Lonchura striata: one gene and its partner. Each later gene encodes a partner of the first gene's protein in a complex. Links are inferred from orthologs where the notes say so. Each region holds a gene or a part of one and is shown in the gene's direction. Other genes may lie near its edges.

Evidence for each region. The genes of interacting proteins can lie anywhere in the genome.
Region 2: the proteins of TNNI2 (region 1) and TNNC1 are in contact, whole or in part, in an NMR structure (PDB 2MKP), measured with the Homo sapiens proteins. The link is inferred for Lonchura striata from reciprocal best matches to the Homo sapiens genes TNNI2 and TNNC1. Residues at the interface, in NP_001139301.1 of Homo sapiens: Arg116, Met117, Ser118, Ala119, Asp120, Ala121, Met122, Leu123, Ala125, Leu126, Leu127, Lys130, His131, Lys132; in NP_003271.1 of Homo sapiens: Asn18, Glu19, Phe20, Ala22, Ala23, Ile26, Val44, Met45, Met47, Leu48, Gln50, Pro52, Glu56, Phe77, Met80, Met81, Cys84, Met85, Lys86, Asp87.

Annotation. Positions count from the first base shown.
Region 1 is NC_134608.1:46,533,550-46,540,605, forward strand, and holds TNNI2 (troponin I, fast skeletal muscle), read left to right. Parts: upstream 1-4,583; 5' UTR 4,584-4,700; intron 4,701-4,989; 5' UTR 4,990-4,995; coding exon 4,996-5,118; intron 5,119-5,504; coding exon 5,505-5,594; intron 5,595-5,726; coding exon 5,727-5,903; intron 5,904-6,210; coding exon 6,211-6,309; 3' UTR 6,310-6,457; downstream 6,458-7,056. UniProt on the Homo sapiens protein: Troponin I is the inhibitory subunit of troponin, the thin filament regulatory complex which confers calcium-sensitivity to striated muscle actomyosin ATPase activity.
Region 2 is NC_134614.1:9,515,427-9,522,695, forward strand, and holds the start of TNNC1 (troponin C, slow skeletal and cardiac muscles), read left to right. Parts: upstream 1-4,210; 5' UTR 4,211-4,312; coding exon 4,313-4,336; intron 4,337-7,269. UniProt on the Homo sapiens protein: Troponin is the central regulatory protein of striated muscle contraction. Tn consists of three components: Tn-I which is the inhibitor of actomyosin ATPase, Tn-T which contains the binding site for tropomyosin and Tn-C.

The DNA of each region.
Region 1 (7,056 bases):
CTTTTTTTTCTAAAAAAATCTCTGAGTTGTGTTGAAATATTTCACACAGGGAAGAGCTACAAGTATTTACTGTGTAAGAGGAATAATTGAGGTTAAAAAAGCATGTTAGTACTGGATAGCTTATTAAGGGATTGCTCTTGCATATGCTGTTGGCAGTGGATATTTGGGGTGCAAGCTCTTTCTTCTCTTCCTTCCTGAAGGGCAGAGTTCCTCCCAAGCCCTTGAAGGCAAATTGAGTCATGCCCTTGTCCATGGATAAGCCACTCTGTATATCCAAGGGGAAATTTTGATTAGAGGCCTTGCAGATGGATGGCTGTGTGCAGAGAGCCTGGGCTCCCCACAGATTTGAAGCCATATCTATTCTGACTGGTTGGTGGCAGGAGAAGGGAGAGGAGGGCTCCCTACTTGGAACTTCTGAGGAAAAACACCTCCCCAGCTCCACTGGATCCCACGGGTAGAAGATGTTCTCCTCCTCCCCACCCCTCCTTCTCTGGGGGCTGCCCTCTCCTGTTCTCCTGCCCTGGCCTGCCCCAGCCAAGGGAGGTGCACAGCAGACTCTTGCACATCATTGGTCTGAGAAGGTCTCCATGCCCTTAAAGAGAAGGTGGATTTTCTGCTGAGCCACCCGAGAAGCCCTTTTATACCTCCTTACTCAGCCAGCTGTCTGCGGCTCATCTGTCCATCCTGTCCAGCCTGCACGACTCTGATTTTCTCCAGGCTTGGGTGAGCATTTTTGCATATCTCCTAATGACCCAGCTTGCTCTTAGGGAGTGATGGGGAAGCAGATTTACTTACCTGAGTATTAAGGAGATAAATACCAGGTGGGGGTGGCCTACTGGGAGAAACAGGAGTGCGAATAACACTTTCTCCATCCTTTGCTTATTGGAGAGGATCTGTGCATTGGAAAGGTTCGCGCTGTCGCTTCCACTGAGCTTTTCTCTTTCTGATTTCATGCTTTCCCCTGCCTTGGCTGGTTCTGCTCTCAGCTTGAGTGGCTAGGGCAAGTGGAGCCTAATGTGCCCTCCACAGGGCCTATGGATTGCGGATCCTTGCCTGCGGTGACTCGGCTATGCCCCCATCTTACACCCCATCCTCCAGCTCCCTACCCTTGCCGAGCCTTCCTGCCCAAAACCACCCTGGGACAGGCACCGACATCCCAATTCACGGTGTCCTCCCGGCAGAACAGGCGATGCCGAGCCCACGTCGCGGGCTCCGAGCCGTAGCCCGGGCTGTCCCCTGGCTCGGAGCCGCAGCCCGGGCTGTCCTCCGAGCCGCAGCCCGGGATGTCCCCGGGCTCGGAGCCGCAGCCCGGGATGTCCCCGGGCTCGGAGCCGCAGCCCGGGATGTCCCCGGGCTCGGAGCCGCAGCCCGGGCTATCCTCCGAGCCGCAGCCCGGGCTGTCCTCCGAGCCGCAGCCCGGGCTGTACTCCGGCTCGGAGCCGCAGCCCGGGCTGTCCCCCGGCTCGTACTCGCGGCCCGGGCTGTCCCCCGGCTCGTACTCGCGGCCCGGGCTGTCCCGGCTCGGCGGGAGCTGTGTGCGGGGCAGGGCTGTCAGCGCACACAGCCCGCGTTCCTGGGCTCGGCCCCGCCACCTGCGCTCCGCACCGCCGCCACCTCCCCGAGTCACGGGGCTGGCACCGGGCAAAGGCTGCCGTCCCAGGAGACAGCTGCAGCTCCTTCTGCAGCTCCCTGGCCATTTTTAGAAGCACTTTCCTCCCCCCGCCTCTCCTCTCTGAAGCAATGTGATGGGCCCGCACATTTTCCAGGATAAAGTTTCCTTGGCCCTGCGAGCTGTGCCTCCTGCCTCGGGCATGAGCCCCCATTAACACTTCCCCTCCTGACAGAGCCTCCCAGCTCTGCAGACGGCTGCATTGGCTGCTCTGCAAAGGGCAGGCTTAGGAGATGCAAGTAGATATTGCTCTGATAGAAAAGTAAAATTCTATTTATGTGGAAATCATTTACAGCAAATCAAAGGTGCTCTTCCATCTCTTCCCTAATACACTGTGTTGTATGTGTAAAATTTCCACTTAAAGCAAATGAAAGGGATTGCCTGGGGAATTTTTTTGTGCTTATATCAACTCAACCACAGCTTCCAGCTGTGCTGAGGCTGCTGCAACAGGCTCCCCTGTCCCACAGAATGAATGCATACACTGGCAGTAGCATCCTCTGGAGTCCTTCCTTGCCACCTGGGGTCATCGCTGACCCTTTGCAGGCTTTGGGATATTTCTTGTTTATGAAGTGAAGTAAGGTTGAATGGCAAAGTGAAGCAGCAAACTGAAAATAGTTTTTGCCTTTTCTTTCTTCATTGAATAAAATGGTTTTATGGGGGTCAGACAAGAAACATACCTGCAGGAATCACTGTCACAAATCTCTCTTTTTCTGTCTCAATCCCATTTAGCCTTTTCCAGAAGTCCTTTGATGTTGTGGTTTGTGTTGCTATGAGGAGATATTTGCCTCTCATCTACAAACTGCAGCCTAGTTCCCTATATGATGAAAAATTTGTGAAGTTGGGAAATAAGAACAAACCTGTTCCTCTTTTCATTTTCTAGAGGAGGTTTGCTTTGTTTGTAAATCCACAAAAAAGTGAGTTTAAAATCCACAAAAAAGTGACCACAAGCATGAATAATTGTAAACTTTTTCTCTTGGTTTTCATTTCAGGCTCAGAACTATCTAAACCAAGATGTCTGAGTAAGTTCCCATTTTTTCTGTCTCTAATACACTGTTGGCATTTAAAAACTTTTGTTCAACCACCAACTTTTATGGTTGTTAAGATTCTTCTGCTTGTTTCTAGTTAGGATGCTAATTAACTGCCTTTTTTTTCCTCTTTCCCCTTTCTCTTCCTTCCTTTCCTTGTCCATCTGCTTTTCCTGAACAGTGAAGAGGTAAGTGTGTTTTGCTGGCGTTTTTCCTTTAGCAATGCTTATGGCAGCAGTCCTGGCTTCACCGCTCCTCCCTAGGAAAATCAGCTGCTCTGTGTATGTGTGTGTGTGAAGAATGGCTCAGGGTTATTTTCTTGCTGACTCCTCCTGGTAAACACATGAAGGAGAAGAAAAATCCCTTTTGAATGACTATTTTTTTTGTCCCCTGGCATGGAGTTTGATGCTTTTCCCCCTCCATTCCTGCTTCCCCAGCCGGCCACGAGATGGTGCTGGGAAGGCAGTGGTCCAGAGCTGCCTCTCCTCCGTCATCCATCCACCATCCCGCCCTTGGCCGAGCATCCTCCCCTCCTTCCCCACATCCAGCCCTTAATTTTCTACCCACTGAGCACTGACAAATCCCTTCCCAAAGGCAACCCAAGGAGACCTGGATCCAGGGGAGTGTGAGCAGGGTGGAGGTTGCATTCTTAGCAAGTTTTCCCTGGCTTCTGGCAAAGCCAGGTGGGGTTGGGGGTGTCTGAAGAAATGCAGGCGAAGGTGTGGGAGGATTGTTTGTGGCTTTGTCACTCCACATTTCCTCTTAGCATATTGCTCCATCCTTCATTTCTGCTTAGCATCTCCCCATATGTCTGCAACACCACAAGCTTCAACTTGTTCTCACTGAGAGAAAAGAGGATGTCAGGGACACATAGAAATGCCACAAAATGGTGCTGATAACCAACATGTTCTTTTACTCCCCATCAAGCCCAGACATCCCAGAAAAGGCTGGGAGGACACTCTTTGCTAAGGTACCAGTTTTCAGATGGAGAATAAGCCTTGGACTAACAGCCCTCAAGGGATCTGATTGTCTGATGGTTAATAGTGTGCTGCATCTCTGAGCTGGGTGCCTTTTCTCTGCAAAGCCCTCCAGCCCTGTCAGGAGGGCCTTGGCACCATTTACATATGTGAGACACGTCAAGTTTTGTTACATTTCACTCTGCACATCCTTATTCACTTCCTCCTCTCCGCAGCACAAACCCACACCCAAGTGCTGCTTTCTACTCCCCACCTCTCAGCATATCTGATGTGCTTCCCCTGGGCCAGCCCAACTGAGCCATGCCCTGTCTTCTGGGTGAAATGCTCAGGAAACAGCTGAAATGCAGAAGTTGTGGGTTTTTTTGTAAGTAGGAGTCCTATTGCTGCTGGTCCAGCATGACAAGGACAGAAGGGCAGCCTGTGGTTGGGTCTGTCCTCCAGCTGTGATGAACCCTGCTTCAGCATCACTTGTGCTGGGTCTTTCCAGCTCCAAGAAATTACACAGCCTTCATGTTTTCACCTGCCTGGCTGTCCTTGTCACTAGAGTGTCAGAAGGACGCATGCCCTGGACTGCTCAGAATGACATCCCACAGCTCCTGAGTGCCCAGGGTCATGGGGGTCATTAGCTTGAGCACAGTGTAAAACACATCTGAGTGAAGAGGAAATCAGAGAAAAGGCTAAAAGTCCCAAGAAGCCATGTTTGAAGCCATATTTTATACATATATTTTCAAATTCATCACCCTTGTTATCTTTTCCTCGGGGACTTTGTAGATTTTAGATACCTGAGGTTGGCAAAGCTGGGTTCAGCAGGGAGCCTCTTCCTTGAGTGCTGCTGGTCTGGGGACAGACTGTGTGTCAAGATGGAGCAATCTCCCTGGCAGGGCTGCAGGTCCTTGGTGGACTGTGGCATTGCATGGGGAAGGGCAATGGAAAGGGGAATGGGCACCTGGTAACCTTCTTTTCTCTTGTCTTTTCTTCCACTTGCAGAAAAAGAGGAGGGCAGCCACTGCCCGTCGGCAGCACCTGAAGGTACGTGGCACTGCTGTGGCTGTGGGATGTGTGTCCCAACCTTCCCATCTCCCATCCCAAGCCAGGCAGCTCTCAGCACTCTCCCTACTAGAAGAGGCCACGATGCACAGCATAGATCTCCCAGCCCACTGCTCACTGGGTCTCTATCTTATCCCTTGCTTGGAAATGGTATTTATGGGAACTCCCCAGGCTGCCTCTCCATCAGGACTCCCACTCCCCTGAGGAATGACCCCCCTACCCTCCTTCCTTGCTTCCATCCTGCACTGATGCATCTCCTGCTGCCTTTCAGAGTGCTATGCTCCAGCTTGCTGTCACTGAAATAGAAAAAGAAGCAGCTGCTAAAGAAGTGGAGAAGCAAAACTACCTGGCAGAACATTGCCCTCCTCTGTCACTCCCAGGATCCATGCAGGAACTTCAGGTACAGGCTTCTTTAACCCTTTCAGTGCTGGAACAGAAAATATTTGACTCTGTCAGTCAGCCTGGTGGATATAGACTGGCCTTCCCATCTTGACCCTCTCCTCACCTGTGTTACCCTGGAGCCAGATGAACATGGAGCTGGCTTGAGAGGCAGGTGGGGTCTCTCTCCCAAAAAAAGGGGTCTGGCTGGCAAGAAAGATGTGTTTTAAAGGATGTGTTGAGGCAGCATTTGTGTGCAGCCAGTAGCATGGAGATTAGGAGCTGGCTGATAAGCTCCTCTTCACCTTAAGCCTGTCTAGTGTTCTGGACTGAGGGTTTTCAGAGCCAAAGCAGTCAGGAGTCAGTGTGAGTCCTAGCAGTCAATATCCCTCTTTGCTTTCTTCCCAGGAGCTGTGCAAAAAGCTTCATGCCAAGATAGAGTCAGTGGATGAGGAGAGGTATGACACAGAGGTGAAGCTACAGAAGACTACAAAGGAGGTGAGTTCCTCTGGAGCCATCCTTCAGGGGAGTCTGCAGCCCATTCCTCATGCCTCCCTGTGCCACTTGGGTCCATCTCATTAAACCCACGCCCTCCTCTCTCTCCAACCCTCCTCATTTCTTCCCCCCCAGCTGGAAGACTTGAGCCAGAAACTCTTTGACCTGCGTGGCAAGTTCAAGCGGCCGCCGCTGCGCAGGGTGCGCATGTCGGCTGACGCCATGCTGCGGGCCCTGCTGGGCTCCAAGCACAAGGTCTGCATGGACCTCCGAGCCAACCTGAAGCAAGTGAAGAAGGAGGACACTGAGAAGGTATCCTTCCCTCTTCCTGTTGTCCCTAACAGGAGTAGCTCCCACCCTTGAGGGCTCACACCTCCCCGCAAGACAGACAGAGTTGAGAATGACTCTTTCTCCATAATGTTCTTCCTGCTCAGTATTTCCTTCTCTGGCACCCATGATGTTGAAACAGGAGGGTGCAGTTTAGAAAGATGTATTGCATGGGTGGAACTGGGTTCCTCCAGCTGACATGGGGGTTTCCATGGGTGGACTGGTGTGGGGCCCGGGCTGGGTGGGTTCTTACCACGGCGCCATTCACACCAACGCAACCTCCCTCCCCCAGGAGAAGGATCTCCGTGATGTCGGTGACTGGAGGAAGAACATTGAGGAGAAGTCTGGCATGGAGGGCAGGAAGAAGATGTTTGAGGCTGGCGAGTCCTAAGCACCTGCATCTCCACAGCTGTCCTCCTCTCCCCGCTGTCCCCACTGCCCCGCCGGGCTCAGGGGCGCTGACTGGGTGCCATTTCTCTCTAGTTTTGTGAAGAGCTGCATCATGGCAGCAGTGATGTAAATAAAGCTTTGGTGGGAGAGGTGGGTGTTGCCTGCCTGGGTGGCCAGACCCCGACTCATGCCATGGTGCCAGCAAGGATTGCCTCACTGTGGCAGTCCTGGTGGGGATGGGGGGGCTTTGGCAGGGGCTGTGCTGAGGAGGTGGGGGGCCTCTCTGCTGTTGGTCCCTGTCCAGAGCTGCAGATGCTCATGCCCTTCTCCAGTGGTGAAGAGACAAAGAGAGAACAATCCTAGCCCCAGGAGGAGTTGCAGAACCTCAACCTATGATGGCATCAGCAGGAAGCTGTGGGGAAGAGCTGAGATGGGGGGAGAGGGGGTGGCATCTGCAGGGCAGAAGCAGTCCCTTTGGCTCCAGTGGGATCTGAGAGGTGCAAAGACAGGAAAACCTTGGCAGCACCTGCAGCAGCAGCCTGGGACTGGTACAGTGTAGGGTGCTGTGGTTTAGAGATGATGGCTGTCACCAGAGTGGCACGGGGGGCAGTGGTCCACTCCTGTCCCTGCCATGGTGGGGATGTCTGTGCTGCCCACTTTTCTTTTGGGTTAGCCCAGGACTTCCAAATTTTTAGCTACCGACAAGTAAAATCTTAAATCAGTCTCAATGGTTTTTAAAAGGAAACAA
Region 2 (7,269 bases), on another chromosome or scaffold:
TAGAATCCAATCCAATGGAATCCAATCCAATCCAATCCAGTGCAATCCAATGAATCCAATCCAATGCAATCCACTGCTGTCCCATCCAATACAGGGCAATGCAGTGCAATCCAGTACAATCCAATGAATCCAACCCTGTCCAATCCAGTGCGGGCAATCCAGTCCAGTCCCTCTAGTGTGGAGCTGCCAAGGGCTGAGCCCCCTCCCAGTGTTGGAGCTGTGACCCTGTCCCAGCTGCTGGCAGCCTGTGGTGCACATCTGTAGCCACCAAGGGCTCCTGGAGGCTTGGACACTGCCACACCAGGCTGAGGTGCCACCTCAGTGGTTGTGTGACTGAGCTGCCTGGTGCCACCCCAAAAACAGTGCTGAGGAGCTGGGCTGATGGGCCAGACCTCAGGAATAAGCCCAGAGTGAACTCGGGGTGCTGTTTGGGGTGATTTACTGACAGCATGGACTTCACTTTCACTGTCCTGCTCAGCATGGGGAAGTGTTTCAAGCCTGAACACGCTAAAAGATCTTGCCAAGAATTTGTAACAGAAGTGGAGAATCTAAAAGATGGCAAGCAAACTCTCCTCAGCCTTTTCCCTTGAGCTGAACCTGAGCTGCCCTGAGGGGAAGTCATACTATGGCAACCTTTCTGACAGGCTCAGAATGCCTGTTCTGTTCCTGCCTCACCAGGAACAGAAAATTGCAGGAGAGAGGATATAATGAGTTTCTTTTGGAGTATCTGAGTGTATTAAAATTGAGAGGTTATCTAGAAAGATTATGTTTTGGCAGAAGGATGCATCAAGCATCCATCAAGGCTTTGAAATATACTCTGTGCTACATTACACACAGAAGGATTATGTTTTGGACTGTCAAATCAAGGAGATTTTGTTAAAAAGTACTTTCCAGCAGAATGAAAGCAGCATCTGCCTGCCCTTCCTTATGCTACCTAAGAGAAGATGCAATTAGCTCAGCATGGTGTCATGAAGTGCAAATGCCCTGGCTGGATGTGAGGAGCTGCAGGGGCAATGCTGGTGTCTCACAGATGCCATCAGAACTGCAGTGGCAGATGAGCAAACACACCACTGCAAAAAGAACTGGAAAAACTCATTTTGGGGTGTTTCTCACTGAAAAATGTTTTTCCTTGGTCAGGATGAAGCTGAAGGATGATGTGCAAAAGGACAAAAGACAGAGAGTACAGGCAGCCCAACAGGGATTTTCTAATGCTATCCCAGCATCAGGAACTGCTGCTGAGCTCAGCCTCTTCATGAGATAGTAAGTGGGTTTGGAGAGCAACTTTAATTAAGCTTCCTCTGAATGTCCCATCTCCTTAATTAAATAAAAATTTGCAGCCCGGCTGTCGGGTTTGATCAGTGCCCGTCTCCTCCTGAAGCAGTTCCTGCCTGCAGGCACAGCAGCGGCTCATGGTGTGACAGCCCTGTCCTGGCTCACAGAGGAGAGGAGCAATGTGCCTATGGAAGGGGGAAAATGGGTTCTCCTTCAGCTAAAATATTCCAAGTAGTGTTTAGGAAAGAGTACATTAAATAATTCTGCTGTTGCTGGGTCTGGACTCTCAGGGCCATGTGCCCAAGGCAGGGAAGGGGGATATGGAGCATTTTGCTGCAGTTTGGAGCCATGACACAGCCAAAGGAGCCCTGTAAACATCCCTAATCTCAAATAAAATTGCAATTTAGTTGAGCTTCTGTCCTTTATTTCTTTACATTTGATGTCAAGAATGCCTCTGCTAGTTTTGCAGTGGGTTACAGCAGCTTGGAAATGAGAACCTGAAATGAAGTTTTGGAGGAAAAAAGCCAAGTAAAGCTTCCCAGTTGTCTTGGTAGCTTGGAGGGACTGACAAGTGGGACAGCATGTCAGGATGCAGCTGGAGCTAGCAGTCTGTACCTGACCCCAGTGAGAGCTGGTGTGTCACCGGGCCAGCTGTACCCAGATTTAAGGCACTTGTGCTGGCAGCCTCCTCGGGCTGTGGATAGCCACACTCCCTGTCTGCCACGGGGCTCAGGTGAGGAGGCACAGGAAGCAGCAGGAGAGGGTGGTTTTCCCTCAGAACAGCCCATACCTGCAGTAGCTCCTTCCTGTGCTTTGCATGGCAGAGGCTTTGGGTTTCCCTACAAAACCCCAATTCCCAATCCTTTTGTAAGCAAACAACTTCGGAGAGCCAGGGGATGCTGGAAGCTTTGTCTCCAGGCAGCCGGCGGGGAGGCAGGGGTTGGCACAACGCCACTCGCCTGCGCCTCCTTCCCCGGGAGGAACATCACCTCCCTCCGCTGCCAGATGGGATTTCATCCTTTCCTCTGGGCTCAGCTCTGGTTTGTAAGTCTCTGCCTCCATCAGATGTTCACAGAAGTGCAGCTTTCCCATGCCAGTAGGGTGGCAGCAGCCCAAATTTCCCCTCTCTGAGCACACAGAGACCCTTCCTCCAACATCCCAGCCTGAATTTCACCCCAGCTCTCCCCAGCAGACCTTTTAAAGGCAATGTTGGAGCTGTCTCTCCTGCGCTACATTGACCCTAAATATATTCTGACACATCCCAGGGGCTGTTTTCAGGGTGACTCAGAGCCATCACTTCCCAGGATGGAGGGACAGGGCCAGCCGTGATTCCTCAGCCCCTGTCCTGGAGCCTGCTAGTGCCCAGAGCTGGCACCTGCCACCTGCAGTGAATCCCAAGGCCAGAGAAGCAGTCAGGGGCTGGGGCTTGCCTCGGGGCAGCGGTTCATTGGGAAGGTCTCTCTGGGGTTGCCCACGAGGTTTTGGGGGGTGGTTTGGTTCTGGGGAACAGCAGGTCTCCCATCCCAGCCTGTGCTCTCGCCTAAGAACAGGCTCCTTTAACAAAACTACTTCCCTCTGCTGCTGTTTCTGACTTCCGTGTGTTAAAGGCAACCAAAATATTAAATACATTCAAATTAGTAAGACTAACTGCTTCAAAAAATGTAACAATTTTCCCTTTTATTCCATCTGCTACGCCTATGCTGAGCAGAGGCAGGGCTGGGCTGAAGCCTGGGAAAATCAAGGCCAGCAGGTGCCCACAAGACCACAGTTCCTATCAGGCTCTGTAGTGATTTAATCTTTCAGGACTCAAAACCTGGGAGAATACGATGTGGGGATGGCTTTGTGCTCACCTGCATCCCCACTTTGTGCTGACACCACCTGGTTAATGTTGCTTTGGCTTGGGCATTCCACAGGGACTGCAGGTTTTTCCATGCAGCATGATTCTTCTTAAAGGTGGATTTGTAGTAAAGATGAAAACTAGCAGTTGCATTAATTTTATTTTTAATTTTGCAAACTAATTTTGACATGAGCCAGCTGGAGGTGAGACCTTGCCACCCTGTGGTGCCAGAGCCATCTGTAGCCCCTCTGGACACAAGAGGGAGTCCTGAATCATTGAAAAGACAGGTTTGTTTGCTGTGGATTAAAACACTTTTTGCTGCACTGAGAAAACTGCTCATCACTTGGAGGCCTTTGGTGTTTTTTGCTCTCCACTGTGGCAGGGTAAATCTATGGTAAACCCACAGTAAATCCAGGAGTGTGCATTTTGGCTGTTTGCAGTGGGGACAGATCAGCGAGCTGGCTGGGTGAAGTGAGTCATGACTTCCCAAAGGACTGGCAATTATCCCTGGAATCAAACAGGGTTGATACCCCCATTTTGATAGCTGATCCCCACATTTTGCTGCCCTAGCTGAAAACAGAAAACTGTGGCAAAGCTCCATGTGTCTCCACGCTACTGTCCGTGGCACTGGGACTGCACATTCCCCCCAAGCCCTCCCGAGGCCATTGGCCCCAGCTGCAGGTCCCCCGTGGATTTGGGGACACGCAGCAGAGGGGACGAGGGGCCCTGAGACCCCCTGTTCCCACTGCCCTGGGGGACATTTGCTCCTGGACAGGGATATTTTGGGACACGTGCCTTTCCTCTAATACCCGATCCTATCTGGCACGGTATAATCTTTCTAACGCAGCTCCCAGGGGGAACACGCTGGAGGTGGAGGTGACACGATGGCACGGCTCCAGCCAGGACAGCCAAGAGCCGCGATACATCAGCAATTCCGGCAGGTCTTGCTCAAAAGCGGTGGCTTGATCCCACAACAGAGTCACGAGGAAAGCTCCAGCTGCTCCGGAGCGGGGCCGGCGCTGGCGCTGCCGCTGGCCCGGACGTGCCAGCGCCGGGCTCGGTGGTGTCCCCGTCCCCAGGCACGCAGGCCAGGCATTCCTGGGGGGCCGGGCATGCGGGGCTGGCCCCAGCCCCCTATATCAGCCCTGCCCGCGGGGCAGCGCCGGCAGAGTGACCGCGACAGCCCCCGGCCCTCGCCCAGCCATGGATGACATTTATAAGGCAGCGGTGAGTGTCTCCCCGCGGGGCTGTGGGCTGGGGAGAGGGGGGGTCTGAAATGGATCTAAGGATTTTTGTTGTAGGTTCCAATAATTCAGTGAGAAATGAAAATGAGAAATAATTATAAGGCAGCAACTCTTAGTCAACGTCCTCATCCAGGACACAGACCTCTCCCTATCATGGCTCTGGAAGTTTCACACTCCTCTTAAAAGTGTGAAACTCTTAACAATGACCCCCTGGTTCCCCACTGAAAAGCAGGGAGATGGCTCCTAGGTGAAGATATAAATCTCAATAAAACCTGCAAGGCATAAGAGATGACTCTTGGTTTTAGCCCAGACAAAGCAGAGGAGGATTTCCCAGAAAAGAAACATTATTTTTATGGGTTAAAACTCACCTTCTTTCTGGTGCTTTACAATTCTGCCATTGCTTTGTTCCCCCCTTCTTAGCTGAATATTTTTCAGAGAGATTTTAAAAAACCCTCGTTTTTTTCTCAGTTATTTCCAAACCTCCTCCTCTGCTTTGCTGCTCCTGCTCTGTGCTGTGCAGAATCCAGAATGTGAGCTATGCCCTGGGGAACGTGGAGCATCCTTGGGCTATTTTAACTTCCACAGCTGCACACTGTGCTCACTGTGTAAACCCAAACTATTTGGTCTGTAATAAGAACACTGCATTATTCTGTAACGTAGGCAGACAGAGATGTGCAAGTGGATTAAGGATGAAAATAGAGTCTGGATTGTGTGGATTGCTATTGCATCCATAACTGGATTTACAGTAAGAGCTTTTTCGTGCTTTTCCCTCCTTAAATATACAGCTGATCAAGTTTGATTTTAAGCAAGAGCACAAAAAATGCATCATACCAGTCTTATTATTATGGCAAGGTTTTTAGAAGGAAGGAATATCATCCTTGGTAGGTAACTGAAAAAAAACCCCAATGCTCACACATCCCCTGTCCTTTGGTCAGCCTTGAACCTTGGAAATGGAACCCCTGTAGTGACCCTGATAGTGTGAAAAGGTTCAGGAAAGGTTGAGTCCCCCAACCAACACCTTCAAAACGGAGAAAAATGGAACCTGTAAAATCAAAGGAAATCCAGGCCTTTCTAATTAAGATTTTTAATTAAATAAGTTCTCTGTGACTGAAGGTACAGGCTCTTTCCTCATTGCATAGGGATCACATAGCCATTAATTAGGTAAATGTAGGGTTTGAGTCCTGGGCATTAACTCCCAGCACCTTTACAGAGGCAAAACAAGTCCAAGCCAGGCACAGCTGAGACAAACAGCTCTTTTGTGGAGCTGTTTTCTATTTCCCTCAATTTAGACTGTAAAGAAAACATTTACCTGTGGAAGAAAAAAATTAAGAACTTCAGTTTCCCCTGACTTCCAACAGAACCATGGGATGGAGAGAAGAGCTTTTAAAAGCAAAATACAGCAGATTTGGCACTACCACAGCTGCTGCAGTGCTGTGAGCTTAGAGCCTGCCTTCCCACACTGCAGTCAGAAAAACCTGTTCCTGGAATGATGTGGAGGGAAAAGAGGAATAAGGTAGCAAACAGCACCCACATCCAGAATGAACTACGAATATCTCAAGAGACATTTTTGTGACAAAAATATCACTCTATAGCAACAATGCATTTAATTTATATACACATCTATCACTTCAGTACTCAAGGAGGCTTTAAAATGGAATAGCTGTGTATTTTATGCATGTTGATAGCGTATATTAATATTACATTTATGCCAAATCCCCTACGTGCAGTCAGAGGACCCAATGGATTTTCATCTTACCCACTCATGCCTAGATAAGGGTGTGCAAACACAAAACTATTTTGGGAATATTTTTAGGCTCTGTTAAGTGGTGCCTAGAACAGTGCCAGGGACAAGTGTCCAGATAAAGGGCTGCAAGGATAAATACCAAAGCCTGGGAACAATCAGGGAGCTCATCTTTATCTCCAACACCTCTCACCCAGGCTTATAAATAGCGACTGCGCCAGGAGTGTCATGTTACAGAGCAGGACGTGGCTGTGGCCATCGTGGTGGTGGCTGCCCTTGCTCTGCCCAAAAAATGTCTACAGAGGGCCAGCAGCTGCCTGCTTGCCTTCAGCAGCACCAGAAACACACTGGGCTTGGGTTTCCTCCAGCAGTGGAGAAAAATCCTGCCACCGTCCTTAGTGCTTCTGCCAAGTCCTCACCTCCTGGAGCATGGGGAGTGGGATAAAATGCTCTGCCTGCTCCCACAGGCTCTGACCTGCTAAGGAAAAGTATTTTCTCTGCTTCTTGCTGCAAGCAGGAAGAAGCAGCTGGCTTGTGCAAAACCATTGCCCTTCGGGGCAAAAGAATCAGTTTTCACTCAAAGACACAACCCGGGGTTTTGGGGTCCTGCCCAAACACAGCATGGCAGGGATGGGTGTTGGGGGCCACTGGCATTGGGGTGGCAGCAAGGAGAATTTAGTGGGGTCAGATAGGGCAGGCATGGGTCCCTACCAGGCTGGATCTAGAGAGGCTGTTGACCAGCACAGGAAGGAGAAGTTGATGTTTTCATGGATGCTTCCAAAGGGGCAGTTGGACATGGTGGTGAGGGCAGCAAGTTCAGCTAAGCAGTACCTGGAATGAAGCCAAAGAGAGAAAGGCACTTAAACAGGTATGACACAGAGCTGATTGATTTCCCTTTGCTCTCCTCATTGATTATTTTCATTAATTCATGCTAATAAACTCCCACTACCATCAGTCTGTGGGGATTGAATTAGGGCAGAGTTTGGGAACAGTCTGCCATCCCATGTCAGCAAATGCCTGTTGGCTCCACAGGCCATTTCTTCAGAGATTCCCAAAACAGACTAAAGGGAATAGCAGCTCCCTTCAGAGCCAGACACCTTTGTAATAACACTGGCTGAGATGGAAGCAGAGCAGTTAAGCTTCCTGAATCTAGGCCTGAAAAACAACTACCAGGG